Linked DNA regions of Sus scrofa. The protein of the gene in region 6 interacts with the protein of the main gene of each other region in a pairwise test. Links are inferred from orthologs where the notes say so. Each region holds a gene or a part of one and is shown on either strand. Other genes may lie near its edges.

Region 1 (4,219 bases), on a different chromosome or scaffold from region 6:
AGAAAAGGGATAATTAAGGGGAATTGGATGGCAGATACAGAAGAGTAGGAAATGGTTTTGTAATGCTCCATTGTGCATATAGGGAACTTCATTCAACATACAGACCTGCTCCCTCTTCTCTAGGTCCAAGGACCTTAAAAAACCTGGAGCTAGAAAGCAGTAGACTGGAGGCTTCTGCAGACTGTAGGACTCAAGGTGATATTTACAGACCGACTCTATGAGAGACAACACTGATCTGCTCAGAGGCCGGACCATAGATGGATTGCCAGGGCTTGTGTGGGAATCAATAGGAACTGGGAAAACCTACCACCAAATACGAGGAGCAGGCCTGCTCAGTACTTTGAGCTTATAGAGGAAGTAAGCAGAAAAGGAAAAAAAGAGTAGAAAGTTGTTCTGTCTGCTCCAATCGGTGCAAATCCCAGGAGTCTGAGTGCTAAGAAGTGTGGATATTAAGGAGGGGGGGAGTTGGGGTGGGGGAGGGGATGTAATTTAAAGCCACCTTCAGCCTAAACAAGCCATCATCATAAATAATTTTAAGTGGCTTTGGATGAGACCTGGCAGTGTCTCTAAACATTTCCTCAGGGAGACAGCAGTTGAGAATGTAATGTAAATAAGTGAGGAAAGGAACTGCTCTTTGGTGAGTTCCTCTTATGGACCTAATTTATTTAATACTCAATATAGTCTTTGTAGGAAGGCATTGATTTGGCCCCTTTTTGCAGACAGTAAAACTGAGACTCAAATTAAATAACTTGTCCAGTGTCAAACAGCTAGTGTTGATAGAGCCTAGAATCAAACCTAGGATTGTAAAAGCCTTGTTCTAAGTTAAGCCACTAAACTGTAAACTATAACCTATATCCAATAGTGTATAATAATGTTATAGTAACAGAAGTTTCCAGTGACCTTGAAAACAAGATGGATTTCTCTAAGCATTAAAACAAATCCCTTACATTGCTGCCCCGGGGATGGTTTTAGGGAGTGCCAAGGCAGCGTGGATGTGGATGGTGTCACCTTAGCAGAGCATCTGTGCCTCCCGAGACTGGGTTCTTCCCAGGACTTGGGTGCTGCATAGAATTTCTCAAACACTAAAGGGCATCCTTTCCCACAGGCTGCTGCTTGTTATAGTCACTTCCTATCCTCAGCCAAAGCAATCTTCAGAAGTAAAGCTCCTGACCTGGCTCATCTTTCCTCACAAATTGCGTCCCCTGTTCCTTGGTGACCTTTGTGCTTGGTTTCTGCTCTCAGCCCCTATCTGCTAGGAATCTGAGATCCTGCTTCAAGTCCTGCCTAAGGGCTAGTCTTGGAGCTCAGCCCTGCCTCACTTTTTATTCTTCATAAAGTGCCAAAAAGATTAGACCTGTGATTCATTACTTAGTTAGCTTTACAGGGCTGGAGCTGAGTGCATGCCTCCATAAATTTGGTAGCCTCTCTGCCTCCCTTGCCTTACTCTAGTCCCAGCCCTGTAGCTTTAGATAATTCAGATGTAGATGAAACATTTCTTCTAATTCATACAGTCCTCTGCTGCCCGCCTCTGCTCCTTCTTTTGCCTCACCCTACTTACTTCAGCCAGAGTCAAGACTGGATAATTGTTTTGCTGCCCCCAGGGTCCAGCCACCCAACCCCTAGTATCCTGGTAATTTTAACAGTAGTGTCCTAAGTGAAAGTTATTTGAGTAGCATTCTGACTCGAGAGATAAAAGAGTGTGGTTACTGTGTGAATCAGGATACAATCAGAAAAGCAGCACCACTAATATAAAGATTATACATATGTGTGTGTATTTGTATATATAAAGATGTATTATTTTAAGGGATTTATTATAGGGATTGACCTTATGCAGTGGTGGGAGCATTGAACAGTCTCTTAAGGCTGTCGTCTTTGCATCTAATGCTGGAGCTTGAAGTCTGCAGGACAGGCAATCGAGAAGGGAAGAAGGATGTAAAGTGTGGGAGACCAAGGACACACTGGCGCCCATGAGCACGAGCTGGAACCCACGAGGATGGCCTGGAACCCATGTCAGCCTCTCCCCACCTCCAACTTCGATGATATGGGTGTCCTGCAGAAGAAGCTGGTGCCCTTCATCACAGAGTTAAATATGCATCTGGCCTAGGAATTAGAGAAGCTGAAGGAAGATCCTGGGGAAGGTGGAGTAGCTACAGGCCTGGCTGCAGGTCTGCCTGCTGCCCCATACCAACGAGGTGAGCCAGCAGATAAATGACAACATGTGTGAACTGCAACAGTGCCTGGTGCCCCTGCACCAACCTTCCAAGTAAAAACAATGTGCTGCTGCTTCACTTCTGCCCTCCAGTTATGATGCTAAATGTTTCTTGTGGCCCGTCCTAACCGGAAGCATACGGGGAAGGGAGTACTGGGAAACGTAGCCTAGTCAAGGTGACACATTACAAAGCTACCCTGCCGTGAATCAGCTCCCAAGGGTCTCACTACTCACCTGAGGATTACTTGATAACGCTACGTTGCTGAAAATGCAGAGCTGAAGACCATGGATTTCATGGTGATCCCAGCAAGATCAGAAATTCTGTCAAGCCCAACCAGAAAAAATCTTGCTGGTCTCGGTATTTTTGTGTCAGTCAAGTCTTGAGAACCTGGCCTATGTAGGGACTGTACTTAATACTGGGGTTCAGGAATGAACAAGATAAAGTCCATGCATTTTTATTAAATACATCCGTATGTATTTACAAATGGTGAATGGATTTCCAGCTTTATCATGGAACTTAATGGTGAAAATACAGAATTCGGGAAGCTGTTGGGAGGACCTCCCTTGTGTGAACCTTGTTGGGGCCCAATAGGCATTGGGAATAATATAAATAGTTTTTATCTTTATGCTGTTCTATTTTAAAATTATTTTTAAATGATTTTATTGTCCCATGTACTGATTTATACACTTAGTGTTTCTTTTGAGAATGTCTTGATGGTGCTTAAGTGTTGATTGACTGCCTCTGAGAAAGTGGTATAGTGGTTCACAAGCAGGATCAAGGTCAGGTTCTATCCAAGGACCTTAGATGAATCACTTCTCTTAGGCCTGCAGGGGGACTTGGTCCCACCAGGCTTGGCACCTGGCCTGGCTCCTCCACTCTCTGAATGTGCCCGCCAGGGGCCACTGGGATTTCGGTCTTACCACCAGGGCTTGAAAGACGCTGTCCGTCATCCCTGGCTTGGGCAGCCCTGGGGCGTGACCTCCACCTGGCAAGACTTTCTGTCCCTGAGCTGGCTTGGAGGGGGAAGCCAACTCTCCTCTTCGCAAAAACTCAGCAGGCAAAACCAAACTGGAACTAAATTATGGGGCGCGCCAGGGTGAGGGCACGGCACGTGCTCAGGACTGATGCTGGGATGTTCCAGGGCAGCCAGGTGTCGCCAAGGGTCTTCTTCTGATGCTGAAAATTCAATGGGATCCTCTGAGCTGTAGGACCTTGGAGGTTCCTGATGAGTGCCTGAATCTCAGTGGCTTTTACCAAACCCTTACCCCCTGTTGAGGGCATTTTCATTGCCTCCCATTTACCCCAAGGCTGTGGTGTCAAGGGTGGTTCCATCCAGACCAGCCAGCTGGCCAGGTACTCCTGGGACACGAAGATCAAGGAACCGGCCCTCAGGCCCCCCACCAGGAAACAGACGACCATCTAATTTCTTTCTTTTTTGTTTGTTTCAGGCTACGTAAACTCTTAGCAGTAAATGAAAATGAGTATTTTACTGAACTGCAATTGAAAGAAGAAGCATTATAGGAGATTAAAGACAAAATGAGAATTTTTAAAAGATTGTAAAAGAGAAGAGAGACACTATTTTGTGGCTGAGAAAGGCTGAACCAGCAATTCAGGAAATGGAGTCCAAACCTAGAAACGTACCGCATACAAAATCTGAAGTAGGCGGATTATAAATGATTAAGGAATGCCAGTCTATAGTAAATTGCGGTGTTAAAATGGGATGCACAGTATTAGTTGTATTTTGGTTATTACACGTTAGTGACCGACTAGGTGCTGATTTTTTTTCTGTGCTGTAATAATAGTTTTATGTTCGCCATCACTTTAGAATGAGAGGACCAAAGTGTCATTCTTATTTGGCTTTTAGGTAATTAACTGCCACCTTGCTCTTGACCAGAATTACAGCTGTGGTCTCCGTTTGTGCTGAGGGCCCCTTCTGGGTTTCCTGACCTGTGTTTGTTTTCCTGCCTGGGATCCGGAATCTCAGAGCCTGATTACTTTCCATTCTGATC
Region 2 (4,826 bases), on a different chromosome or scaffold from region 6:
CAAAATATATAATCTTAATGCCCAGTCTATGTTTCTAATTTTTATAGTCTCTCTCAGTGGCCAACTGAAAGCATCTTCCACATGTATAATGGGCATTTTAAAATGGAAGGTGTTAGAGACTTATTTCAAGGGATGACCAAATAACCAATCTTCATCTGTCCTATCACCCAAAAGTTTTACTGTTAACTAACGTGTTTTCTAAGTCATAATGTTGACATTACAATGTACGAATAGGTGCCCAAGCCCAGAAGATGCAAGTGACACAGAAACTAATGTGGAAAGAAAAAGCAAAAAGAATTTTTTTAATCACGGTCACTTTTTTCTCTTGTAGATATTCTCAAATTCCCTTCCAAGAACAAATTTAAATGAAACACTTCTTTCTCCCAACTACAGTGATAAAAGAAATAATCTGCGGTAAAAACACAATAAAGAAAATATTAAATCAATTTACTCTACCTGACCTTTACAGGTATTTTAAGGGTGAATCATTTTGATTTTTCAGGATTTAAAGGTCATCTCTGAAAAAAAATTTCTCATCTTGATGATTTAACTTTGATGTTAACAAAGGCTCAAATATGCAGTTAATTCAAAACAGGTACAGTCAACTCAAGTTACGCTACACCGGTATTTAGTCCTATTTCTCAGTATTTTTGTCCTTCTAGTTTCAAATCTTTCTACATAATCTGCCCCTAATTAAACTTCATCTCGGTTGCTATATGCAAAATTAATTTTGTACTAATATTTTAAACTGGGACTCTAGCTCTACAGTTAAAAACCTAGTTGTTAAGTAGCAACATCTGACTTTAATTGTCTGGAACAGCCAAGTGTGGAAAGCTCTAACGTGCCCTACCAGCAGGAGGGGGAAGAAAAGGGGAAAGTCATGCCAAGAGACCACAAATGGTAATTAGCAAAAACCATGGAAGGTTTGAATTCAAAATATGTGGTTTTCATTTGTGTATCTCACCCATTTTTTATTTCTCTCAATTGAGCATCCATATGCTATATACCCATTTTTACAGGGGATTTGCTGAGATCACACCCTTTAGATTTGGCAAACATTAATATCTGGGCTAAGTAATTCTTTAAAATTGCCCATATCAGCACAATCTGATAAATTTAAAGGTTTAACAAAAATCATAATAGGACTAAAGGAAACCTCCTCTTAGAAGAGCATTTTCTTCTAAAGTACAGTTTTGCACACATGATACAGAAAACAGCTGGGCAACAAGATTTTAATTTTATGACTATTTGAAAAACAATAAAAATCTTGAAAGACAGGATTTTAAATTATTTCAATTAATCATGACTTTACATCTTTCAAGAAACTAAAAAAGAAAAATCATGAAAACCTCCCTGAGACATTTGGTCTCTGTTTTTCTAAAACTGCAACTCTTTTGAAATATGCCCAATTTTTCCAAAATGAAAACCTCAAATACCCATTTAGAATGTAAATGTTCCAACTGGTTTCATAAAAGTTCAATCCCCAAAATCTTCGACTCATACTAAAATAATTAAGTATCTTTCAAGCTTATTCAAAGTTCCAGAGTGAAAATGAACAGCCTTTGTCGTAACTCCTATATTATTTTGATCAAGGTTAGTCACAGACTGGCAAATGTGTGAAAAGAGCATTCCTTTTAAAAATCAACTTAGTTTAAAGCCACGTAGTATCAAGAGAGAGGTCAACTTTTCTAACTAGCCAGCTTCAAAGACATAATTTGTTTCAGTAAGCGTACATACCTCATTATTTCCAATCCAATTAAGAAAGCACTGCTTAATAATGTATTTTAGACTTTCTACCTATTTCTTGGGTAAGGGAAAAGGGGAACAGGTGGAGTAGATGAGCAGGAGAACAAAGTCAGTTTCATGCCCATAAATTCAAACCTCCAAGACTTTCTCTTCTTTGACTCTTTAAAATGGCTACCACCTTGATCCACTATGCAAAAGGAAAAATGTACCGCATACTACTACCAAAGATAAACCTGTGTGTTTTTGTTTTGTTTTGTTTTTTCTTTGACAGTGGATGCCCTCCTCTCCCACAAAACACGTTTTAAGATTTCCCATTTCTTTACTGTTCAGGAAAAAGGACCATTAAATAAGTAGGCAAAAGTTGGTCAATTACAGTTTGAGGGCAACCTATATAACTCAGCTTAGGTCATCTTTCCTATAATATCTGAGTAGGAAAAGCAGGTAACATTATCTTTCACAGACTAAGATCAAACACTGTAGAACTGAAAAGGATTGTTCAGTCCAGTGAAGGAGAAACAAACGTGGGAAAGCGCAAGTCCCCCCTGCCCCGCCAAGAGATGGTCATTAACAATTTTAGGAATTCAAAAGACTTAGATTAACTATTATACGGGTTAACAAAAATTAAGTTTCTGCTTATGGTTAATATTTCTAAAAGCCATTTTATACCAAACAAAACGACTTGGTGCTCCCAAACCTATGTGTAACACCCAAAAAACTATTCTGTTGAATCCTGTTTACATATTGCTTATACCATTATACCATTTCCTATCCAGCTGAGGCCATTCCATTAACTCTTGCTCTAGAAAACTTACCAGAAAAAAATGCGTTTTCACACATAAAAAATGAAAAAGTATGTAATGCTTTCGACTAATCTTATGCACATACATAGCTACTGAATGGATTAACTCTGCATCTGTTGAATGTCTGCAGAAACATGGCATGATCTTACCTCTCATCCTCGCCATCCACCAGGGGTGTCGTCAGCGGTAGCACCTTCAACGGGAAAAGAGAAGCAGAGGCTGCTAGGCTGCTGCTACTCCCATCTGAAACTGCTGACATTCCCCCACTGTCACCACTGATAGTCTGAGGTAAGCCAACTAAGGAGGGTTCCGCTGGGCGCCTGGCATCTTCAATTTGGCTTCCAATTGCCTGAGCTAATGATTGTGCAGAGAACTGAGTAGAACTTAGTGGTATCTGTTGTGCCAAAGGTAAATTTATATTGGATGCTATCAAGGGAGGTTGACTAACGCTTTGAACCAAATTACCATTCTGAGTGGCAGGGGCTTGTGCTATATTCTGTGATGGAACCAAGTTTGTTGGGGCAGAAGGCATTCCAGAAGGGCCAGTTGAACTAACCTGACTGGTAACAGAAATACTACTAGCAGAGGGCAAAGAACTAACTGCGGGCAACTGCTGCGAAACAATTCCTTGAGCTACTGACTCTACTCCTGGTGGCTGGGGAGGCACAGTTAACAAGGTACTCTGGGGTGCAATGACCAGTTGTTGAGGAAGGCTTGAAGCACTGGTCTGAACTCCCTGATGAAGAATCGCAGCTTGAGCAGGTGGAACTATGTGTGATGGCGGAGGAGCACCTTGCTGGAGAACTGCAGGTGTGACTTGAGGGGAGGGCTGCTGCACTGCTGCAGGTATACTTGCTTGTTGACCAATATTTGCGATTTGACTCCCAGGAGGCACGGCAGAGACTGCTGTTTGAGCCTGGCCCACAGGTTGGCCAGATGCCCCCGCAGGTTGTGCTTGGCCGGCCGCGGGCTGCACCGGCAGCTGGATGCTGGGCGGCTGAGCCAGAGGCATCCCGGGGGCTCCTGCTGCCACTCCCGCAGGGGCAGGCTGGCCAGAGGGCACTGCTGTTTGAAGAAGCGGAGGCTGCACGTACTCGGAGGGAGGATTCGGAGTCACTGTCGTACCGTGGCTTGGGGCCATCTGTGTAGAAACGGGGGGCGGCTGCTGTCCATACTGGAGCTGGTGGGGTGGTGCGCCTGGAAGGGGAGCCTGCACTGCAGGGGCCGCCGGAGAATACGGCAGTTGGGGCTGGGCCAGGCTGGAAACGGAGGGCTGCTGACCCAAAGCTGGAGTTACGCCCACCACACCAACAGGTGTTGGCTGGACACCAGGCGCAGCGGGGAGAGCGGCCTGCACAGGTACTGGCTGGAGACCCTGCTTCTGCTGATAGCTCAGTTCTGGAGGCGGAGGCTGTAACTGCACTTGCGAGACCTGGGGTTGGGAAACACTAGGCGGTACGCTACCCGCTGGGAGGCTCTGGGCGCCCACGCTGCTGCCGAAGTCCATCGGCGGAAGGGCCACAGCTTGAAGGGCCGCTGGTGGTGGCGGCGGCGGCGGCTGCTGCAGCTGCACCACAGCTGGGGCCCCCATCTCGCCGCTCCCCACGCTGTCCGTGTAGTGACTCAGGGTGCTGACGCTGCTGCTCACTGAGCTCCCACTCGTGCTCTCCCTCTCGGAGGTCACCTCAGGCGGGTTTTGTTTTACAGTTTCCACCGCTTTGTTTATCACCACCCCTTCGGCAGGAGGGCCGGCGTTTTCCTTCTCGTAGAACTCGGTGCAAGTCCATCTGCCTTTTTTAAAAGGCTCCGAACTAGAGTCTAACTTTACCACTCGGAACCTCGACGTGTTCACTGCGGGTTGCTGCTGCTGACTCGAGCCCACCGTCACCCCCGCAGCGGCGCTGGCAGCGCTGTTCACCGCAGCGGAGGAAGAAAGAGTACCATTGCCCATGCCGCTCAGGAGATTCACGTTGACACCACCGCTCGCTATAGGCCCCACACTCACGCCAGCAGCACTGGGAATACCGCTGGCACTGACATTAGCGTTACCAAGCATGCTGCTGGTCACGCTGGGATTAAAACTACCCACGGCAGCAAGGTTAACGTTATTCATCGCACTAGTGCCAGGGACAGAATTGATACCTATACTGCCCGTCGTACTCGAAGCTCGGATACTAGGCATGACGGGGGCAGGCGAGCCACCCGATGATACAGCAGAAGTTGGAGCAGCGGGCATAACAGTGTCAGAGCTTCCAGTTGTCGAGAGTTTTCTGGATCCGG
Region 3 (5,460 bases), on a different chromosome or scaffold from region 6:
GGAAGCAGGGTGAGTTAGTGCAGACCACCGGACCAACTGCATGTGGTGCACTGTCCACAAGCAGGTGTGCTCGTGCCACCATGAGGAACAGAGACGGTCAAAACTTGAAGCCCCTGCCACTCAGGAGGCATGGGAACAGGTGCAGCTCCACCCCAGCACTCTGAGCACACCTTCCACAGGCTCTCACCCCGCCAGGCTTCAAGATTAAGTCCCAGACAAGTAACACCAGTCCTGCACCCAAAACAGAACAGCTTTTTTTTTTTTTGGTCTTTTTAGGGCGGCACCTGCGGCCTACAGAACTTCCCAGGCTAGGGATTCAATCAGACCTACGGCTGCTGGCCTACGACACAGCCACAGCAATGCAGGATCCAAATCACATCTGTGACCTACGCTGCAGCTCACAGCAAGGCTGGATCACCGAGCGAGGCCAGGGCTCAAACCTACGTCCTTATGGACACTAGTCGGGTTTGTTACCACTGAGCCACAATGGGAACTCCCCGCCTGGGATCTGTCTGTTCACACAACACAAACTGAGGAGAGACAGAGTTGTGGCTGTGCAGAAGGCCCACGCAGGAGGAAGACGTGTGCTGGGAAGTGCTAGGTGCCAGGACACAGGAAGCAGGACGATGGCAGGGAGGCACCCGGTCCTACAGGGTCAGGTGCCCGCGTGGGCACAAGCTGCAGCAATGCAAGGGACTGTTCCAGGCGGGCTCACCAGGAACAGAAAGAAGAGCCAGGAGGGTCACTGGCTGCGAGGGCCAGGGACCGCCCAAGGGAGGCGGGGGCAGTGACCCCGAGTCTGAAAAGCTTTCCTTCCCTTGACTGCCTCCAACCCTTCACTTTTTTTGGTCTTTTTTTAGAGCTGCACCTGTGGCATATGGAGGTTCCCAAGCTAGGGGTTAAATTGGAGCTGTAGCCGCTGGCCGACACCACAGCTCAGCAACGCCAGCTCCTTAACCCACTGAGCCGGGCCGGGGACCGAACCTGCATCCTCCGGGATACTAGTCGGGTTTGTTAACCTCTGAGCCGGGACGGGAACTCCCCAACCCTTCACTTCTAAACAGAACCCTGCCCCACCCACTCCAGCAGCTAGTGGGGCTGCCCCTCCCGCAGGGCTTGAGGAATCTGGAGGGTCTCTGCAGCCCCTGGGCAGCCAGGGCAAAGGCGGCAGCAGGCGGACACGTCTGAATTAACGGAGGCAGGAGTCCAGCAAGCGGCTGCTCCCCGTGAGTCTGCACCTGGCCAGGCGCTGACCATGGGTCATGAAGGCCCAGGGCACCACTGTGGACACTGAGGAGCCATGGATACTAAATGGGCAACTGAGGCTGCTCGGGGAGGAGGGCAGGGGTCACGGCTTGTCCAGGATGCAGACCAGGCCAGGGGGGCCATCCTGAGTGCTGCCTGCCTGCTGACCGTGCGCCAGCACCCGGCCACAGGCCACCTCTTCTGCTGACAAGGGACAAAGTTGCCTCTGCAGGCTGTCCCAGAGCCCAGCTGTGGCTGCGCCAAAGGTAATGGGGGGGGTCCCACAGGAACTCCTGCCTCCCCTTCCTCAGGGGTGCCAGGGGACCAGACCAGGCAACAAAAGGGTGAAGAGCCACAGGCCCAGGCAGAGAGGCCTGGCCTTCCCTTATCCGGGAGAAAGCACCCAATTTGTTACATTTTAATGACAAGGGGAGCTACTCCTTCAGAATCCCACTTAAAATTAAATCTGCCTTCCCCAACCAAGAGTCACCCGAAGCAGCTGAATGTTAGCAGACACTCCAGAGATGGACATTGTTAGGATGCAAGGATGAAATACCCACGAACCGCTAGCCTGCAGGACAGCAGCTGGGATGTCCAGGCAGATTCTGGAAGTCTCCACGCCACCTTCCTCCAGAGTGAGCTGTGCCTGAATCCCCTCTTCTTAGATCACACGCTGCGATTTGACAGCAAAGCCTGCAGAGCCACTAACTGGCTGCACATGCGGGCGAGATGCTTCTCTCTCCCAGCCTCAGCCTTCTCAGCTGTGCGATAAGCCACAGCACTGTGAACTCACGGGTTGGCCCAGGGTGAAAGTGAGCAAGGATCAGCAGCCCAGGATGGGCCCTTCCCACCCAAACATCAGCTTCCCAGGGGGAAGGCATTTGCTTCACCTGATGCAGGCACCCTGCACTCGGGAGACTCTCCAGCCCAGGTGCACGCCCTGTTCTTGCCCGTTTCTGCAGCCAGGCCCCAAATCCCGAGCAAGACTATCGCAACAAGATGCAGAGTTCACCCCCTAAACCACCCGGCGGGCCATGAGCAAGTCAGGGAAAACTTGGGATCCACTCCCCTCTTCTGGTGGGAAGACTTCCAACCCAAAAAGTTTTCCTTAGTAGCAAGAAACGTTTGAGGTTAGGGGTCTGGAAAGGGCACCAACTCTGCAAACACAGAACAACAACTTTGCAACCCGAGGAACTAAGCTTGTTTTCAAACCACACAAACCAAACCAGTGAATTCTGTGATTGAGAGGCAGGTGCAGGCCGTTACCGCGAGCCCAGCTAATCATTCTCTGGCCTTCCTGCTCCTGGCTCAACTACCACTTCCAGCCTCCGTGCACTTGGTACAAAGCAGTCCCAGGAGGAAAATTCCCCGTCAAAGGAAGCGCGGGTGCCCAGGGTCCCACCAACTGCGGCCGAGGCTCCGGAGGCGCAAGAACTCGGACTTGTTTTGATTTACAGACACCACACACCACCCCCAAACGGGCCGGCGCTGCCGCAGCGCGAGGCTTTGCGCTCTTTGTGCGATGCGTCGTCTCCAGGGCTGGCACACGCCACAGGTTCGCGCGCAGACCGTGACCCCGGAAACGCTCCGCCTCGGCGGAGGGCTCGGCGCCCGCTCGCGCTCCTGTCAGCGCAGCCCGAGCGGCGGGCGCCGTCTGCGGCCCGGCCGCGATGCGACCCGCCCCGAGCGCGCGCCCGAGTGGACGCCCCCGCCGTCTGGGGCCGCGGAGCCCAGCGGGCCGGCCCACGCCGCGGCGTCAACACACCGGGGCAGGCCGGTTCCCGGGAGCGGGCCCGGCCGGGCCGCGGGTGGAGGGAGCCCGCCTGGCCGGGCCCGACGGCGGCGGAGGCCCCAGCCCGACAAGGCCCGGTCCCCGGCCCGCCCGTCTCGCCGCGCTCACCTCGGGCGGCCGCGGCCCGGCGAGTGAGGCGGACGAGGCGGCGGCGGCGGCGGCGGCGGCGGCGCTCCTTTGTCTCGGGACTTCCCTCCCGAGCCCGCTCCGCGCGCAGCCCGAGCGCTCGAGGACCCCGGCGCGGGCGGGGCGGGGCGGGGCCTGCGGAGTCTGCCCGCCGCGCGCCTGCCCCGCGCCCCGCCGCTGCCGCCGCACGCCCCGCGCCGTCCACGTCGCTGTGCGCCGCCCGCCGCCCGTGCCCCGCCGCCGGGCGCCCGCGCCCCGGGCCAGGCCTGGGAGCCCAGCCCCGGGGGCGGCTTTCCAGTCAGGCGGCGCCCTGGACACCTGTGCCCTTAAAGGAGCCGCGTCCCTTATGTGAGGGAGCGTCTGCAAACTCCCCTTCGCGGGGCCCGCGTCTATCCGAGGACACGCCGGCGTGCGGCGGGGCAACCAGGAGGCCGAGATCTCCAAGGGCCCCCCGGATGCCCCGCGGGCACCTCCCCGGGCACGGGTCCTGGAGGTCTCCTTGGGGCTAGGGCCCGGGGCCGGGGAGCAAAGATCATTGAGGCCTAGGGATCCCCGAAGCGTCGCAGCACGGTGACAACCCCTCGCGCGCGGCAGGCCGTGAAACTCCTTGCAATTGGCCAGTTCGGGGCTCAGGGCGGGGCGTCTGCCGAATCTGCCCAATGAGCTGACCCCGTACAAAAGGTAGCGTGGCTGCCCGACCGATGGGAGGAGAAGAGCGGACGCTCCCTAACCCAGGGCTGGCCCTGGGGGAATGAAAGGGAAAACCTGACATTACTAATGGAAAACCTCTCCAACTGCAAGTTCTGCTTCTGTAAGCCCCGCTTGCTCAGCGCCCCCCCATGATCATGTGACCACTAACAGACCCACACCTAAAGCTGGAACATTCCCTGCCGCCGGCTCCTCCAGTTCCCACTCCGGTCCACCCCTCCAAGCGTGGACCCAGAAGAACTGGCCTGTAAAAGCCTGTAGCACCCCTGTTCGGGGCCTGGGTTCTGGAGAGCAATCTTCCCCAGGCCGGCCGGGTATGAGAGCTAAATTCTCCTCCTCTCCCAGTGTCGCTTGGTTTCTCGCTGGTCGGTGCTGCACGTGGAGCTGTAACATTTCTGGAGGCCCCAGCGAGACCCCAACCGTTCTGGCCCTTTGAGCCACCGGGGCTGCGGTGAAGCTGCAGGAAGGCTGGGGAGCTCCGGAGGCGAACGAGGCGGTGCTCCACCCGACGGTATTTCGGGTCCTCCTTCGTGGCGGTGCTCCAGTCCTCCCAATGGCCGAACCCCAACCGGACTCGGTGGAGAGACGGACCAACTCCCAAGCAAGACTAGTTAAAGCTCCGGAATAAGGTAAGGCCCCGAGGCCAGTCCCCGTCAGGTCCTGCCTACTGGCAGAAGAGGAGACCTACGTCTTCCAGTCTGACGACCCCAGGAAGGGACCTCCCAAGGGGGAGGTCTGTGACGGCTGAGTGAATGCATGAGTGACTGTGGCCTGATACGATTGCATCTCAGGTTCAGTTGTGTGGCTCCACTGTTTCCACTACGGGGTCCCAGTGGGTCCTAACCTGCGGTTCCATGGTAACCTCATACGGTTTACAGCTGCGTGGGACTCTGAGGATTCTCTAACCTCCCTGCGAGTTGGATCCAGGTTCGGGGTTTATACGAACCAGCCAATTGCTAAGAGGCACCTAAACTCCCTAGAGAGAGGTGGCCAGGCAGACATCTGAATGTGTGCTCCATGAAGGGGCATCCCCTCCTTGTCTTGCTTGCCACAGCCTTGCAGGGGGAAACCCAGGTGGGATATTAGCCCTTCGAGACCACCCTCACATGAGTCGAAGACCCCTTTGCCCTCGGCGATTACAAAGGAGAGGTTCTTCAAAGAAATCTTGAATTTGACCTTATCCCCAGAAATCCAGGAATCTTGGCCCGAATCCTGGGTGGACCTCGGGATTGTTCATTCTGCCTGCTCTCAGAACCCCAGGAGCTGAGTAAAGGGGATTTTTGGTTGCAGCCACACTAGGAGATCCCCCTTCTAGTCCACCTGCTTTGTCGTCCACCCACCATCCTGAGATCGTGTTACGTTAGCTCCAGATTCAGGGAAGACTGCATCCAAAGACCCTTGAGTTTCATTGAAGCCTTAGAATATTCCCAAGAACTCGCCCCAAGGGCCAAGACCCGGAGTGGTTAGCATCCTTAGTGGCAAAGCAAGTGCTTGCCCCCCGGCACCCCTCCCCCGCCATAGAGTGGGCGGAGCGGGGGTCGCTCTGCTTTGGGGAGTGGAGGAGGCAACAGTAAAAGGGACATCCGCCA
Region 4 (5,379 bases), on a different chromosome or scaffold from region 6:
GCTACAGCTCTGATTCGAACCCTAGCCTGGGAACCTCCATATGCTACAGGTGTGGCCCTAAAAAAAAACAAAAGACAAAAAAAAAAAGAATGCAACACAATTTATGTTCATCTCAAGCTTGACATCCTCAGCCAGATGGTTAAGGAGAACAGAAGTTAGGGTGCAAGGAGAGCAAATAGACTAATAGAATGGTTTCAGATATTAGACAGTTTATCATTAATGAGACACTGATCCTTACGTTTCCTTATCCCCATTCCCCCAAAGGGTTGGGAGATAAAGAAGTTGGAGCCAGTAAGACAAGAGAAGCCAGAGAAACCTGCCTATTGCCTACCTAGATGTCTGTGAGTGGGGAACATTTGTTCTGTGGAGGGACAAAGGCTAAGGAAGCTTGCACTGGTGGAAGAGAAGGCCACTCAATGGCCCCATATAAAAAGTTAGAAGGTTTGGACAAGGGCATAGTCATTTTTATGCAATGTGGTGGTAACTTCCTTGCACACACTCATTCCTATATCCATCTGTATATGATGTATATAATAGCGTGCGCGCGCGCGTGCACACACACACACACACACACACCATCTTAGTGCAGAAAAGAAACTTTTTTTTTGGCCCCACCTGTGGCATATGGAAGTTCCCGGCCAGGAACTGAATCCGAGCTGCAGATGTATCAACGTGGGATCGCTAACCCCCTGCGCCTGGTAGGGTTGAACCTGTGCCACCACAGAGACAACTAACTCAACGGATCTCACCCCGCTGCACCACAGCAGGAACTCTGGAAAAGAACCTTAAAGGTCAAGTATTCCTGTTTCCAGCTCATTAATAACCTCTCTGCCAGGAGGTATCTAGATTCTGCTTTAACACTCCCAGGGAGAAATGGAAGTTCTGAAGAGGTGAAGGCACACTACCTTGCCACGCTTCCTGTTGGATTACTGTATTTATCTGCCTTCCATCAGTCCTTTAATGCTAGTTTTGCCCTAAAACGGGTATTGTGTCCTCTCTATTTTATATGATCACGCTGCCGGCTATATCTTTACATATAGCCTTTTCACTACCTTAAAGGGCTAGTGCCTGAGACACCAAAAAAACTCATGTAGCAAAAACCGTACATTTACACAGGAAGTAAGCGTTCGGTAAAAATTTGTTGAATGAGTGAATGAAACAAAGACACAAATGAGAATATGTTTTCCGATGGCGGTGGTACATAAAGGCGACAGCACCTCCTCACGTCCCCAGGCCCCCCACTCTGCATATAGAGTGACAGACGCATAGTGACACTGGAGTTGGCGCTCCGGCTCGGCCTGCAATGGGGAATTGGGATCTGGGTGGCCCAGGTTGCCATGGCACCGTATTGGACTCCACCTTCTCTAGGCTCCCGCCCCCCCCTCGCCAGAGTTACGGCAGCCAGTCACGTGCCCTACAGCGTAACCACACCTCTGCTCCTCCAAGCAGTCAAGCGGTCACGTGTGATAGCAACAGATCACGTGGCTGCCATCGCCCCTCCGCCCCTTTCCCTTCCCCGCCCCCTTCCCGGTCAAATAGGCTCCAAGCTGCCTTTCTGCGCACGCGTACTCTGGTCACGTGTTCCGAACGTCCGGCACATTCGCCCCGCCCTGCCAGTTTCCGCGCGCCTCTTTGGCAGCTGGTCACATGGTGAGGGTGGGGGCAAAGGGGGCCGCTCTAGCCTGCGGCCTATGTCTATGGTCGGGCCCGTAGAGTCCAGCTGCCCCAGACAGAGCTCGAGTGCATGGCGCTGCAAGAACCGGCTCCGGGGCCCCGATAACGGGCCGCCCCCGCAGCTCCTGACACGGGGCGAGGTAAGTGTAGCCCCCTTCCAGGAATAGGGACCATTCTAGTCCTCCCCGGCTTCCTACGCGGGCTGGTCTGGAAGGGTCGCTCGAGGGCGGGAAGTGGTGCAGGGTGTAGTATGTTCCTTTGTGGTCATAGGGAGGTGTAATTTAAAGGACTAGGTGAAGGGTCTTCAATGCAGGGGGTGTGTCGTGTGGGATTTCCCTTGTACAGGGCTTGATAGTCCCAAAGAAGAAGGAATTTTTTAATTCTAGGGCCTCACGTGGCTGGAGGGCTTTTGGTTAATCATTGTGTTACCTAGGGGGGTCGGCCTTATGGAAATTTGGGGAAGGGACGGGATGCTGCTCTTGTTGTCTTTGGGATATGTTTTGTGCGAGACACTTTGTTGCCGCAGGCTCATAACTATTTGAACTCTGGAAGGGAATTTGGTGGCAGGAGTCTCTGTGATTGTAGGGTCTCATCTGGTCTGAGAATGGCTACCTCCCGGTATGAACCAGTGGCGGAGATTGGTGTTGGTGCCTATGGGACCGTGTACAAAGCACGGGATCCCCACAGTGGCCACTTTGTGGCCCTCAAGAGCGTAAGAGTCCCCAATGGAGGAGGTGCTGGAGGGGGCCTGCCCATCAGCACGGTTCGTGAAGTGGCCTTACTGCGCCGGCTGGAGGCTTTCGAGCATCCCAATGTTGTCCGGTGAGAAGAAGGTGGAGGGTTGGGAGTGGGTAGTAAAAAGGAATAGACAACCTGTAGGTGGGGAGTGGTGGTTGAAAGAAGTGGGGACCCTGAAGGAATAGGGGAAGCCATGTTAGGTCAAAGATGATTGATCACTGAGTGACCTTTTGTTCTGGCCAGGCTGATGGATGTCTGTGCCACTGCCCGAACTGATCGAGAGACCAAAGTGACCCTGGTGTTTGAGCATGTGGACCAAGATCTAAGGACATATCTGGACAAGGCACCCCCACCAGGCTTGCCGGTGGAGACCATCAAGGTGAGTAGGATGGACATATACTGAGAAGTAAACTGGGATCTTTGTAGTAGCATCTGTTGTGGCTTCCAGTATGATGCCTAGTTTCCAGTTTCTCTGTACCTCCCCCTTCTAAACCAGGATCTGATGCGTCAGTTTCTAAGAGGCCTAGATTTCCTTCATGCCAACTGCATCGTTCATCGAGACCTGAAGCCAGAGAACATTCTGGTTACAAGTGGTGGGACAGTCAAGCTGGCTGACTTTGGCCTGGCCAGAATCTACAGCTACCAGATGGCACTTACACCTGTGGTCAGTAGAAAGATGGTAGCCAAAATGGCTTCTGGTTAGTGGGAGGAGAATGCTTGCTCGTAGCAGTTGGGAAGTCACGTGTTTTTTACGTGCTTGACTTCAGTGAAGCAGTTGTGCTTCATGGTAAGGAGTAGGGACCTCATCGACCCTTCTTATTCCTATTAGGTGGTTACACTCTGGTACCGTGCTCCAGAAGTTCTTTTGCAGTCTACGTATGCAACACCTGTGGACATGTGGAGCGTTGGCTGTATCTTCGCAGAGATGTTTCGTCGAAAGTATGGGGCCCAAATAACCCATAATTTCCCAAATCTCTTATTCATAAACCACATCCATGTCATGGCCACTCTTCTACTTGAGTACTCCTGACCATCTGGTCTATAACCAGAAGCTCTGAAATATCCTGGAATTAGGAATTCCATAGCTCTTTATTCTACATACCCGATGTTCTGAGCTACTAAGCTGTAATCATTCTTCCACCATATGTTTGAAAATGACTGCTGTCTTATGTCTTTTCTCACCTCAGGCCTCTCTTCTGTGGAAACTCTGAAGCTGACCAGTTAGGCAAAATCTTTGAGTAAGTGATTGGGAAGGGAAAAGAGTTTTCCATTCTTAGTCGTCCTCTTTCTGCTGAGCCCTGGTTGGAAACTGGCTCTGCCCCTGGGGGTGGGGGCTAGAGACGGGCCCTCCTGACCAGAGTTCTCCTGTTTCCCATAGCCTGATTGGGCTGCCCCCAGAGGATGACTGGCCCCGAGATGTGTCTCTACCCCGAGGAGCCTTTTCCCCCAGAGGGCCCCGCCCAGTGCAGTCGGTGGTACCTGAGATGGAGGAGTCTGGAGCACAGCTGCTACTGGTACTGGGCTTGGGTATGGGCACAGGGTGAGATTGGGGTGAAAAAACAGCAGTATAAAAGGGACCCAAACACATTGTGATCACTGAGACTCATTAGTGGATGGGCTAGTTTTCTCTTGCTGCTTTGAATGGCAGTCCACAAAGAGAGATAGAAAAGAACCCATTCTAGATATTGTTAAGGGTGAGTAGAAGTCTATTTTGTTTTCTTCACAGTTTTCTGACCTTTGCCTCCCTTCTTAGGAGATGCTGACTTTTAACCCACACAAGCGAATCTCTGCCTTCCGAGCCCTGCAGCACTCTTATCTACATAAGGCAGAAGGTAACCCAGAGTGAGCAATGGAATGGTTGCAACAGAACCAAGAGAAGAGAAGCCAACACTTCCCTTCCTTTGAACACTTGAGAGTCCCTTGCCGAGAAGTCGATCTCTGCCTTCATCTCTGGGGTGTGGAGACGACTGCCTCTGTCTTTTTACAGAGAATATTTTGCTGCCTTAATGACATTCCCCTCCCTCCCCTCCTTTTGAGACTTACCCCCCCCCATTTCCTTACACCAAGGGGTATGTTCCTTGCTCTCCCCTTCCCTGTACCTTGATACTAGAATCCTTTTTTATACAGGAGAAACAAAACAAAGAAATACGGTCTTTTTTCTGGGAATGTTTTTTCCTCTGATTTAGGGATTTGAAAAAAAAAAAAAAAAAAAAAAAACATTTGGAAGATGGCACTTCCCCACAGAATCATAGAGTCTATAGAGTCAGTGGAGCTCCTTAACTGGCAAAAGAAGAAAAGGCACTTATGTTGCTTTTTTGAATATAGAGTTTAAATGGCTTTTATTTTTATATTTACTGAACTTCTTCAAACTGGGTCCAGCTTATTACAAGAGTTCTTGGTGGTTTTCTCCCTGGCTTTGTCCCTGATTTACCCTTGGAGCCAGGATGTGTTGAGGCAGTCCAGCACATGGAAGGGAGAAGAGGGGAAACAGAGCCAGGAGTTCCTCCGACCTCTATCCCATCTCATGCACTTTCAGGAGCTTTCCATATCCACTTAGGGAGAGAGGAAGGAAGGTTTTTTTATTCTTTATAATCTTGTTCCCAACAAAACATGTCAAGGCATAAAGCCTAGCTATTCAGTCATCTAGGGAACATGGCAAAAGACCTTTCCTTTTTCCTCAAACAAAAAGGGCTGTAAACCCCAGGTTTTCCCTAAGGGAGGGGGAAAAAAAAGGCTTAGGGAGAGCAAACAGCGGGAGAAAAGTCAGAAGGATTCAGCATCTCATAGAAAGGCACTAGGGTTGGCTCGAGGGTCCTTCTGATTCCGAAATCTCATTGCTAGCCAAACACCAAGGATCTGTAGAAGCAGAGGGGAAGAGGTGAGCAACAATTTTGAATCTCTGGGACTAAGACTTAACAGATGTAGAGAAAGGACATTAGGCAACTGGAGAATGTTACCTCTGTAAAG
Region 5 (5,552 bases), on a different chromosome or scaffold from region 6:
GGTCAGTTAACATACCTGCTCTCCAAAGGCAGACGGGTAGTTCACCTATGATCAGCCCTGGCTGGGGAAGGAGGAAGACAGGACTTATCTAGGAATGATGTCCAAATGCTGGTTAAGACAGGTATTCCTAATCAAAATGATCAAACTCAGTTTCAAAACTAAATAAATAGATTTCGATAGTAAGGTATGTTGGTTCAAAACACCTGAGTTCCAAGGTCTGAATCAAGACTGTTTTTGTAGATTTCCTGTTGTGGAGCAGCAGAAACAAATCAGACTAGGAACCATGAGGTTGCAGGTTCCAGTCCTGGCCTCGCTCAACGGGTTAAGGATCCAGCTTTGCCATGAGCTGTGGTGTAGGCTGCAGATGTGGCTTGGATCCCGAGTTGCTGTGGTGTAGGGTGGCAGCTGTAGCTCCAACTGGACCCCTAGCCTGAGAACCTCCATATGCCATGGGTGTGGCCCATAAAAACCAAAAAAAAAAAAAAAAAGACTGTTTTTGTGACCTGAAGTGACTGCCTGACTATCCATTATGTAAGAATTCAAAAACTCATGTTTTCATCCAAAAGCAAAGGATAAAACATCTTCCAGCTAACAAATTCTAAAACAACAGTGGAATTAAGCCATACTAATTATTTAAATATTTTAATTAGCTAAACTACTGGCTAACAACAAGCTAGGTATATGTCACAGGCATCAGAAATCCAAGATTTTATCACTTAAAAGAGCAGAACAAGAGCCAGTATTTAAGCATGGTGCTCCCTAACCACACTTGGCCCTCCAATAGTGTCCTTCACTCATTCATCAGACTTCTACTGAGCATCTACGGGTAGGCACTACCCTTGTACTCATGGATATAAAACTAAAGACATGGCTTGCAGTCCTTATAACTCACAACCCAAAATTCAATATTCACCTCTGATGCTGTCCTCAGTAAGAGACAACTGGAAAAATTAAGACACTACCATAATAAAAAAGCTTTAGGTCTTTCTCAGTTTGGGTAGGGAGAACATTTCACAGGTAACCTGCCAAGAAATTCAGGATAAAAGACAACTTTTCTTTCTGTCCACCTCAAGCACATCCCAGCACCTGCAATTAGGAGGTCCCAGCACCAATCACTTACCCTGATGAAAAGTGCAGTCCTCTCTGGTCCACTGCTCTGTAACAGGGCTCCAATCACTGCAAAGAAAGTCTGCCTTAACACAGGCGGGGGAACAGGAAACTCTGCACTCAGCGCTAACTGCTCCACAGCCAGGTTTCTAGCCACATGACACACAACTTCCTCACTGGTGAGAAAGTCAACTAGACTTGTAACGCCTTCAGTGGGCAAGTCTGGGAAGGCGTCCTCAAAAAATTGTGTGAGGCAAGTTTGTGAAAAAGATATCCCTTGTTCAGATAGTTCTTGATTATCTTTAAGGTTCAGAAGAGCAGCTTCTTTGTCTATTCCAAGTTTTTGGCGTTTGGCCTCCTCACTTTTAATATAGCAGCTATTAACAAATGCAGTTTTGAGAAGATCTAGGGAAAAGGTTTCCTGTAACCGATGGCCAAATGCTTGTATTTCAGCATGGTAATCCCAGTTGGGCTTCTCTGAACTGAAAATGTAAAACAGAAGACAGAAAAAGTAGGTAAAGAGAACAAGATGCTATTATGACGCAAACATTTTTCACTGTGATGCAATTTTATTCATTATATAAAGGAAATTTTAAAAGACTGACTTTCATTTTAATTCCAGACTCTGATTTTCTGAAAATTAAAACTCAAGTCCGAAGATTATTTGTGGTTCTTTGCCGGATTAATTTTCCCTAAATCAACCGCCACATCGAAACGGTTTTTCAGTATCAAAGACTAAAACATTATCCTAACTTTTGGGTTCTTTATTTCTGCTCTAACCACAGACCTACTTTATACTTAGACATGAAATACAAAGTATAATTTCATAGGTTCAAGCCATAAACAGTAAGCACATTTTATTTACCCAGTATTTTACTGATTTAAGTTTTGATAGCATCCATTTAAATGAGCAATTAAATAAACTAGTATCAATATTATAAGTATGTTAAAAGTTCATAATCATTCTCAAGAGTGACTAAAAGGTCTTAAAGAAAACTCTTTTAAGTAAAAAATGGCAACAAACTATAAAGATCTGGATTATAAATCAAAATGTATATAATCTGTAAAGTTTCTTCCAACTCCAAAAGCCTAATCTCAACAATAATCAAAGAAATGCGAACTAAGAAACACTATTTTGTTATTCTTTTTAGGAAAAGAACTTAGTATTTTGTTTTTGAAAGAACTTTTAAAGAGTACAGAACTATGATCACATATATTCCTAAATTAGGTATGTAAACCAGATCAACTTTTTTTAGAGGGGAGGGCAATATTAAAGTACCTATCAAAATTTCATACTAAATTTCCAAAGGAGTAATAACTTCAAAGCTATTCACTGTTACATCAGTGGTGACAGCAGTAACATGGAATTCGAACACCCATAAATGGAGCCATAAAAGAGTGAGGTTCATTTACCTATACGACCACAACTACGTGTCAGAGATACATTATTAAAGAGAAAAAGATGCAAAACCTCATGTCTAATAGGATCTTTTGGGGGGGCGGGGGGGGGTAGCTATAAAGATCTGCATCTCTTTCTACGAGAACTTCTACTACTGGAGCAAGGTTAATCAAGGCAAAAACCAGACGTCAAACCGTTTTCCTTTTACTCTGGACAGTGGACTTGTGACTGTACACTTAATCTTTTTCCTTGCCCCAAATCCCGAAGAAGTCTCAGGCAAGACAAAACAGGGGCCACAGCACCCAAGCCCAGATGAAGGTGACCCAGCCGGCCTTATTTCTCGTAACTCTCACTTGACAGGATTCTAAGTGGGAGCTCCGAAGTGTCGGAACCCCTCGGCAGAAATCCATTCCCTTGCCTCGGGCCACTCATGTCCGTCCCGCGGGTGCCTCCACCGCACAAACTCCTCGTCGCCAGCCAGGGGCGCACTAACGACGAGCAACCCGCGCCGCCGCCCGGCCGAGGCCGCAGAGGAGACCTCGCCGGGTCCTCGACAGCCACCCTGACCCCTTCCCTAGACGACTCCTACCGGCGCACGGGCGGCGGAGGGCACCTGAGGAGGCGCCACCGCTCCAACTCCTTCTGGAAGCGGTAGGCGGCGCGGAAGCCCTTCTTTGCTCCCCGAACTGGCGGGGCGAGAGTCGGGGCGGCCGGTGCCAGGAGGCGGCGAGGTCCCCACTGCAGCAGCCTCACCAGCCCGGATGCCATCGCAGGGGAGAGAGCAATGGAGGGCGGAAGGAAAAGAGCCGGATCAGTGTCCCCGGTAACACCGTCCCCCCCGGAACTGGTGGTGGAAAGCGAAGGTGGAGCGGAGCCAGAGCGGGGCAGCAGACAGCCGAGGCTGTTTTACTGCGCATGCACACTCTGTGGGGTTGGTTTGTTTGCTCACCTGGTTTTTACTCTGGTGAACTTGGTTTGAGGTCCGTTTGGATCCAGAAATTTCTCGAAGTTGCTTCGTTTTGTTGGTTGCTCTCGTTCCTTCCTTTCATTAATGTAAAACAGAAGAACAGATTCACGTTTAAAGAAAACACATTCTCACTTATCAGACACAACTTAGAATAGATTTACAAGGAGATCCTGCTGAATAGTATTGAGAACTATGTCTAGATACTCATGTTGCAATAGAACAAAGAGTGGGGGAAAAAACGCAATTGTAATGTATACATGTAAGGATAACCTGACCCCCTTGTTGTACAGTGGGAAAATAAAAAAAAAAAAAAAAAAGAAAAGAAAAAGAAAACACATTCTCAAAAGGGAGGAAACACTTCTTAGCAACATATTATTTAGAGTTCCAGACCATCAAGCGAAACACTGTTTATGTGCAAATATTTACCTGGCATATCTCCAAAAGCCTTTCTTTCAAGAGACCTAGAATAAGAGATACTGACTTACCCAAATTAAAATTGTTACTTAAAAAAAAAATCTAACAGTACCAGTTTTTATTAATCAAAGAAAGGAAGTGGGATGGACTGGAAATTTGGGGTTAATAGATGCAAACTATTGCCTTTGGAATGGATAAGCAATGAGATCCTGCTGTATAGCCCTGAGAACTATATCTAGTCACTTATGATAGAGCATGATAATGTGAGAAAAAGGAATGTGTATGTGTGACTGGGTCACCTCGCTGTACAGTAGAAAATTGACAGAACACTGTAAACCAGCTATAATGGGGGGAAAAATCATTGGATTAAAAAAAAAATAGGAGTTCCCATCATGGCACAGCGGAAACGAATCAGACTAGGAACCATGAGGTTCTGGGTTTGATTCCTGGCCTCGCCCAGTGGGTTAAGGATCTGGCTTGCTGTGAGCTGTGGTTTAGGTCACAGATGAGGCTTGGATCCAGCATTGCCGTGGCTGTAGTGTAGGCTGGCGGCTGTAATTCCAATTAGACCCCTAGCCTGGAAACCTCCATATCTATGGGTGTAGCCCTAAAAAGACAAAAGACCAATAAATAAATAAAATAAATAAATAAATAAATAACAGTGGACTTATAGGTCTTTTTTCTTTCATTCTATAGCAATATGATTATATTGCTTTCCCACTAACCTTACTGTGATTTTTAAAAAATACCTAACGTTAATGCACAAAGGAAGACTTGTCTGAATTCCTAGTTTTGAGTTGCCTACTGAACATCTGGACATTCAAAAGGACACTCTTCTGTGTTTTCTTTGCCCCGATATAGACACCCAGATTGGGTTCTTATGTCTTCAGTGGTTCCTATTTCCAATCTTTTGTCCAGTTGTCAAGTTCTTTTTCAGTTTATTTCCAAAGCAGCTACCTGATGGCTAGCCTACCTCCCTCCCAGGTTGTTGTAATTAGCTTCCAAAGTAATGTGTCTTATACTCTCTTTCTTGGACACATCTCACCTACATTCATATCCCAGATGAAACACAGACCCAAGCATGTTACTACTTAGGTCAAGGATTTTCAATGTTGGGAGTTCCCATTGTGGCTCAGTGGAAATGAACCAGACTAGTATCCATGAGGACACAGGTTCAATCCCTGATCTAGCTCAGTGGGTCAAGGATCTGGCATTGCCATGAGCTATGGCATAGGTTGCAGATGCAGCTCAGATCCAGGATTGCTGTGACTGTGGTGTAGGCTGGCAGCCACAGCTCGGATTTGACCCCTAGCCTGGGAACTTCCATATGCCAAGGGTATGGCCCTAAAAAAAGGCAAAAAAAAAAAAAGAGGAAGAATTTCCAATGTTAGCAGCTGATCAAACTTCTGTCAGGCTCCTCCAAGCCCTCTTCTCAAGGAGGCTTTGACCTTAGGCTTCAGTCTGTCTGTCTTTGTCATGTCTGCATCACCCAGTGTCAGCAAGAATCTTGTTAGGTCAGTTTAGAGAGAATCCCCCAGCCCAATATCTAATCAAATTCATTACTACTCACTATCCCCCAGTGATGTCTGATCACCCCAGCCTGCCTTCAGCAAGAATTCTGTCAACTATTCTTGCAAGAATGCCCTATTACCCCTGATGCTTCCT
Region 6 (4,826 bases):
GCTTATCAAGTTAGCAAGAATTTCCATTTGACTTTTCCTAAGAAGAAACATCCATTTTTGTGAAAACAAGTGACCCACCTATGTTTGCATATTGCTTATTTGGTATTTACTTAATTTGCATGTGCTTTTACACAATAAGTGTATTACATTTCAGGTGGTCTTGGTTTTGCTTCCCTTGAGATTATGATTTCTTCATTTATTTTTTCTCTCCCTCTCAACTTGAAAAATACCAAATATCTCCTTGCCAACTATTTTTTCCTATCAAGACATGCCCTACCTGCCCTCTCTCAGCCTTGCTTCTTCCTTGGGACAGTGAAAAAGACTTGGGAGGACATAGAAGACATCTCCTGCCGAGACTTCATAGAGGAGTATATCACTGCTTACCCCAACCGCCCCATGGTGCTGCTCAAGAGTGGCCAGCTCATCAAGACTGAGTGGGAAGGCACATGGTGGAAGTCCCGAGTCGAGGAGGTGGACGGCAGCCTAGTCAGGATCCTCTTCCTGGTACTCTTCTTCTGAAGAGTTTTGGAGGCAGGGGTCTGGGTGGGATGGAGGAGCACAAGGCAACAATAATAAGGACGTGAGGACGCAGGTTTGATCTCTGGCCTCCCTCTGTGGGTTAAGGACCCAGCATTGCCGTGAGCTGTGGTGTAGGTTGCAGAGGTCGCTTGGATCTGGCGTTGTTGTGGCTGTGGCGTAGGCCAGCAGCTACAGCTTCAATTCGACCCCTAGCCTGAGAACCTCCATGAGCTGTAGGTGTGGCCCTGAAAAGACAAAAAAATAGTAATAGGATGATTTTGTAGCTGTGCCATATTTTTCCCTCTTTCTTATCCTCTTACCTTTTCTCACTGTTTGGGGTTGAATTTTACTTTCTTTTTTTTTTTTTTGTTCCTCTATGAATTTGTTGGAAATAAATTCCCTGAATTTAATTGTGGCACTAATCTTCATGATGGTTGTTTTCATTTTTCTCCAGGAGTATCCACAATGTATGTAGGTACAAGGAAGGCAGCTAGTTGTGTTTGCCCAGGGTTAGGGTTTTGGTAGCATAGTAGGACAAAAAAGAGGGATGATGGAATTGGAGGCCTTTTCCAGGCCCAGTTTAACTCTTAGGTCTTCTGTACCTATCCTTAGCTCTCCTTTCACACCTTTCTTAGTTATATTTCTTTTCTGAGCTATCTCAGCCCTCTGATCCTAAGGCTTTGTGATCCTTGTTACACTTCTTATAATCAGTGTAAACATCTTTCTCTCTTGTGATGTTTTAAACCAGGAATATATGTGCTTTGGGGGTTTTTTGAAAAAAATATTCCTGATACCCATCATGGAGCCTGGCACATGAGTTTATTAAATAACTTCAGGGAACTCAGGGCTCATCGGAGAGATTTCCTCTAAGGGAGGCACATCATATATATTCTTCACAAATGGCAGGACAGATTCCAGCCTTTAACCCATTCTCCTCACCCTTTCTGCCTCCCAATCCCTCAGGATGACAAAAGGTGTGAATGGATCTATCGAGGCTCTACACGGCTGGAGCCCATGTTCAGCATGAAGACATCTTCAGCCTCTGCACTGGAGAAGAAGCAAGGGGGACAGCTCAGGACACGTCCAAATATGGGTATGTCCTCAAAGATACCCTGAGAGAGAGAAGAAATGGACAAACAGGGAAGGGATTTATATACAATGGCTATCTTTTTTTTTTTTTTTTTTTTTTGCCATGGTCTGCAGAAGTTCCTGGGCCAGGGGTTGAATATGGACACAGCAGTGACAATGCCAGATCCTCAACCTCTAGGCCACTGGAGAACTCCTACAGTGGCTATCCTTTGTTTGTGAGGATGACACTACTTACTCATTGGAAACAGGACATGTGCCTGTTGGGTTGTTTCCAGTGGTGGTAATGGATTTTTGGCGCTCCTTCCACGTTCTGTGGCTCTGATTTGTTCTAAAAACCACCTAAAAATCTGAAACAATTGCCTTAGGTTAGAGGTATTGGTGGTAGTGACTACCTACCTCTGTTTTCCACATAAGGATTATCTGATTTGTTTGTGATCTTTGGTCACAGTTTTTTTTTTAAGGGCCGCACCTGCAGCATATGGAAGTTTCCAGGCTAGGAGTTGAATCAGAGTTGTATCTGCCAGCCTACGCCACAGCCACAGCAACACCAGATCCAAGCCAAGTCTGCAACCTGTATTACAGCTCATGCCAACGCCAGATCCCCAGCCCACTGAGCTAGGCCAGGGATGGAATCTTCGTCCTCATGGATACTAGTTGGCTTCATTACCACTGAGCCACTACAGGAACTCCTGTGGTCAGTTTTTCTTAAAAGCCCAAACTGTCTTTATTTTTATATGTTCTTGCATACTTTCTGGTTAATTTTTCCTGATAAACCTAAGTTGATCAAAGAATGCATTTTTTTTAAAATTGCAACAAAATATGTAGCATAATTACTAATGTAAGTCGTCTGAGGCAGGAAGATAAAATCTTCACTGTCTAAATAAAAACCTGTGCCAGTATTCCCACTCATCAGTGTAAATAATGAGATCTAACAGTCTTAGCACTTAACCAAAATGTCTCCATCATTGCATTTTTCTATTATAAATTGAGGTTGAAGTGTGTGCACTAATATAAATGACACAGCTATTATCTTCTTGGTGTTTCCTTTTTCCTATAGGTGCTGTGAGGAGCAAAGGTCCTGTGGTCCAGTATACTCAGGATCTGACCAGTACTGGAACCCAGTTTAAGCCACTGGAGCCCCCACAGCCTACAGCCTCACCTGTCCCACCTGCCCCCGCCCCACCAGGTCCACCTCTGTCCCCACAGGCAGGTGACAATGAGTGAGTGCTATTTCTTCTTTTTTTCTAGTTTCTTTTATGTAATAATTTCTGTATCCCTTACCATATGATTTCTAATCTCCTAGAAGCTTGGAAAGCCAGCTTGCCCAATCTCGAAAGCAGGTAGCCAAAAAAAGCACATCCTTCCGACCAGGATCTGTGGGCTCTGGTCATTCCTCCCCTACATCCCCTGCACTCAGTGAAACTGCCCCTGTTGGGAAACCAGGGATCAATCAGACATATAGGTAAGAAAGTCTCAGGCTTTCTGTTGGAGGGGTTGGCAGTATGGACTGAGTGGTCACTGTATAGTGGTCACTGTTCCTTGGCCACAAGGGGGACCTAGTTAAGATTATGATGGTGAGGACTTTGGACTTGAAAAGAAAGCTTTAACCTTGAAAGTCTCCAAGAAACCGAACATAGAAGTAACTGAATTGGAAACTAGAGGCTTAGAAATACAGACACTGGAAAGTCATTTGTTAAGACTGCTCACTGAATATGGCGTCATCATTGTTATAATAGAAGGGGAAGGGGAATTCTTTAGCCTCTTGCTTTGAATTATCAGAGTTAGTAAGGACATTTATAGGACAGATAGCAGGAAAAACAAGCATTGGTAGAAGACTGGACTCTACTTCCATAATTCATAGGCAGGAAAATGTATCGAACGGAAATAGAGATATCATCAGTCTGTCCACAGTAATAACCGGAACAAAGTTCGCGCTATGGCACAACAGGATTGGCGATGTCTTAGGAACACTGGGACACAGGTTTGATCCCTGGCCGGGTACAGTGGGTTAAAGATCCAGTGTTGCCACAGCTGTGGCTTAGGTCAGGACTGCGGCTTGGAAGGATCCCTGGCCCGGGAACTCCATATGCTGCAGGCGGCCGAAAGAGAAGGAACAAAGAAAGAGTAACCAGGGTGTTACTTTACCAGGCTTAGTAAGGTAAGGGGAAATTTGACTTTCGTGTATCATCTTTAGCTCCAAGAGTACAGCTATTTGAAAGGTTAGAGAGAGGGCTTAGCCAGTTGATAGGCTAATTATACAACAGAGAGGTCCTATTGCCTTCTTATCTGATGTCTTGCCTGTCATTTACAGATCACCTTTAGGCTCAACAACCTCTGCCCCAACACCCCCAGCTCCCCCGGCACCCCCAGCCTTCCATGGCATGCTGGAGCGGGCCCCTGCAGAGCCCTCCTACCGCGCCCCCATGGAGAAGCTTTTCTACTTACCTCACGTGTGCAGCTATACTTGTCTGTCTCGAGTCAGACCTATGAGAAATGAGCAGTATCGGGGCAAGAACCCTCTCCTAGTCCCACTACTGTATGACTTCCGGAGGATGACAGCCCGGCGCCGAGTTAACCGGAAGATGGGCTTTCATGTTATCTATAAGACACCCTGTGGCCTCTGCCTTCGGACAATGCAGGAAATTGAGCGCTACCTTTTTGAGACTGGCTGTGACTTCCTCTTCCTGGAGATGTTCTGTTTGGATCCATATGTTCTTGTGGACCGAAAGTTTCAGCCCTATAAGCCTTTTTACTATATTTTGGACATCACCTATGGGAAGGAAGATGTTCCCCTCTCCTGTGTCAATGAGATTGACACAACTCCCCCACCCCAAGTGGCCTACAGCAAGGAACGAATCCCGGGCAAGGGTGTTTTCATTAACACAGGTCCTGAATTTCTGGTTGGCTGTGACTGCAAAGATGGGTGCCGCGACAAGTGAGTTGCTTGGGGAATTGGTGGCCTTCCCTCCAACTTTGTTACAATTGCTTTTCTTTCTAACTCTTCCTTTGTCATGTATCTGCACTCCTTTTTCCTTTCCTTACCTCACTTTACCTCCTTCCTTAGCTGGAGCTCCTCCTGTAAGGCCTCCATGAAAGCTATGAGACAGGCTGGGTGCTGACATGGCCCCACTGTGTAACCCTGGGTATATGTGTCTTGTGTTTGTTTCTGATTCTTCTTTTTCTTTGCTTCCCTCGATCATGCTTTCAGTTACAATTTG

What was found.
Region 1: the proteins of SETDB1 (region 6) and MBD1 interact in binary tests that used the Homo sapiens proteins (3 or more experiments, as listed by UniProt). The link is inferred for Sus scrofa from reciprocal best matches to the Homo sapiens genes SETDB1 and MBD1.
Region 2: the proteins of SETDB1 (region 6) and TSC22D1 interact in a two-hybrid assay, tested with the Homo sapiens proteins (2 studies listed by BioGRID and IntAct). The link is inferred for Sus scrofa from reciprocal best matches to the Homo sapiens genes SETDB1 and TSC22D1.
Region 3: the proteins of SETDB1 (region 6) and UBE2I interact in a two-hybrid assay, tested with the Homo sapiens proteins (2 studies listed by BioGRID and IntAct). The link is inferred for Sus scrofa from reciprocal best matches to the Homo sapiens genes SETDB1 and UBE2I.
Region 4: the proteins of SETDB1 (region 6) and CDK4 interact in a two-hybrid assay, tested with the Homo sapiens proteins (2 studies listed by BioGRID and IntAct). The link is inferred for Sus scrofa from reciprocal best matches to the Homo sapiens genes SETDB1 and CDK4.
Region 5: the proteins of SETDB1 (region 6) and MRPL44 interact in a two-hybrid assay, tested with the Homo sapiens proteins (2 studies listed by BioGRID and IntAct). The link is inferred for Sus scrofa from reciprocal best matches to the Homo sapiens genes SETDB1 and MRPL44.

The regions. Positions count from the first base shown.
Region 1 is NC_010443.5:99,900,684-99,904,902, reverse strand, and holds the end of MBD1 (methyl-CpG-binding domain protein 1), read left to right. Parts: intron 1-123; coding exon of another isoform or gene 124-163; exon of another isoform or gene 164-1,897; coding exon 1,898-2,087; 3' UTR 2,088-2,867; downstream 2,868-4,219. UniProt on the Homo sapiens protein: Transcriptional repressor that binds CpG islands in promoters where the DNA is methylated at position 5 of cytosine within CpG dinucleotides. Binding is abolished by the presence of 7-mG that is produced by DNA damage by methylmethanesulfonate (MMS).
Region 2 is NC_010453.5:22,520,845-22,525,670, reverse strand, and holds part of TSC22D1 (TSC22 domain family protein 1), read right to left. Parts: coding exon 2,696-4,826; intron 1-2,695. UniProt on the Homo sapiens protein: Transcriptional repressor. Acts on the C-type natriuretic peptide (CNP) promoter. Acts to promote CASP3-mediated apoptosis.
Region 3 is NC_010445.4:40,565,677-40,571,136, forward strand, and holds the start of UBE2I (SUMO-conjugating enzyme UBC9), read right to left. Parts: upstream 3,266-5,460; 5' UTR 3,146-3,265; intron 1-3,145. UniProt on the Homo sapiens protein: Accepts the ubiquitin-like proteins SUMO1, SUMO2, SUMO3, SUMO4 and SUMO1P1/SUMO5 from the UBLE1A-UBLE1B E1 complex and catalyzes their covalent attachment to other proteins with the help of an E3 ligase such as RANBP2, CBX4 and ZNF451.
Region 4 is NC_010447.5:23,038,328-23,043,706, reverse strand, and holds CDK4 (cyclin-dependent kinase 4), read left to right. Parts: upstream 1-1,747; 5' UTR 1,748-1,814; intron 1,815-2,259; 5' UTR 2,260-2,278; coding exon 2,279-2,496; intron 2,497-2,655; coding exon 2,656-2,791; intron 2,792-2,908; coding exon 2,909-3,076; intron 3,077-3,241; coding exon 3,242-3,351; intron 3,352-3,599; coding exon 3,600-3,650; intron 3,651-3,790; coding exon 3,791-3,926; intron 3,927-4,165; coding exon 4,166-4,258; 3' UTR 4,259-4,501; downstream 4,502-5,379. Other genes in the region: TSPAN31 (tetraspanin-31), read right to left, coding at 5,194-5,268, 5,370-5,379.
Region 5 is NC_010457.5:125,730,159-125,735,710, reverse strand, and holds the start of MRPL44 (39S ribosomal protein L44, mitochondrial), read right to left. Parts: upstream 3,293-5,552; 5' UTR 3,275-3,292; coding exon 3,096-3,274; intron 1,590-3,095; coding exon 1,121-1,589; intron 1-1,120. UniProt on the Homo sapiens protein: Component of the 39S subunit of mitochondrial ribosome. May have a function in the assembly/stability of nascent mitochondrial polypeptides exiting the ribosome.
Region 6 is NC_010446.5:98,272,267-98,277,092, reverse strand, and holds part of SETDB1 (histone-lysine N-methyltransferase SETDB1), read left to right. Parts: intron 1-313; coding exon 314-504; intron 505-1,482; coding exon 1,483-1,612; intron 1,613-2,665; coding exon 2,666-2,828; intron 2,829-2,911; coding exon 2,912-3,070; intron 3,071-3,919; coding exon 3,920-4,543; intron 4,544-4,826. UniProt on the Homo sapiens protein: Histone methyltransferase that specifically trimethylates 'Lys-9' of histone H3. H3 'Lys-9' trimethylation represents a specific tag for epigenetic transcriptional repression by recruiting HP1 (CBX1, CBX3 and/or CBX5) proteins to methylated histones.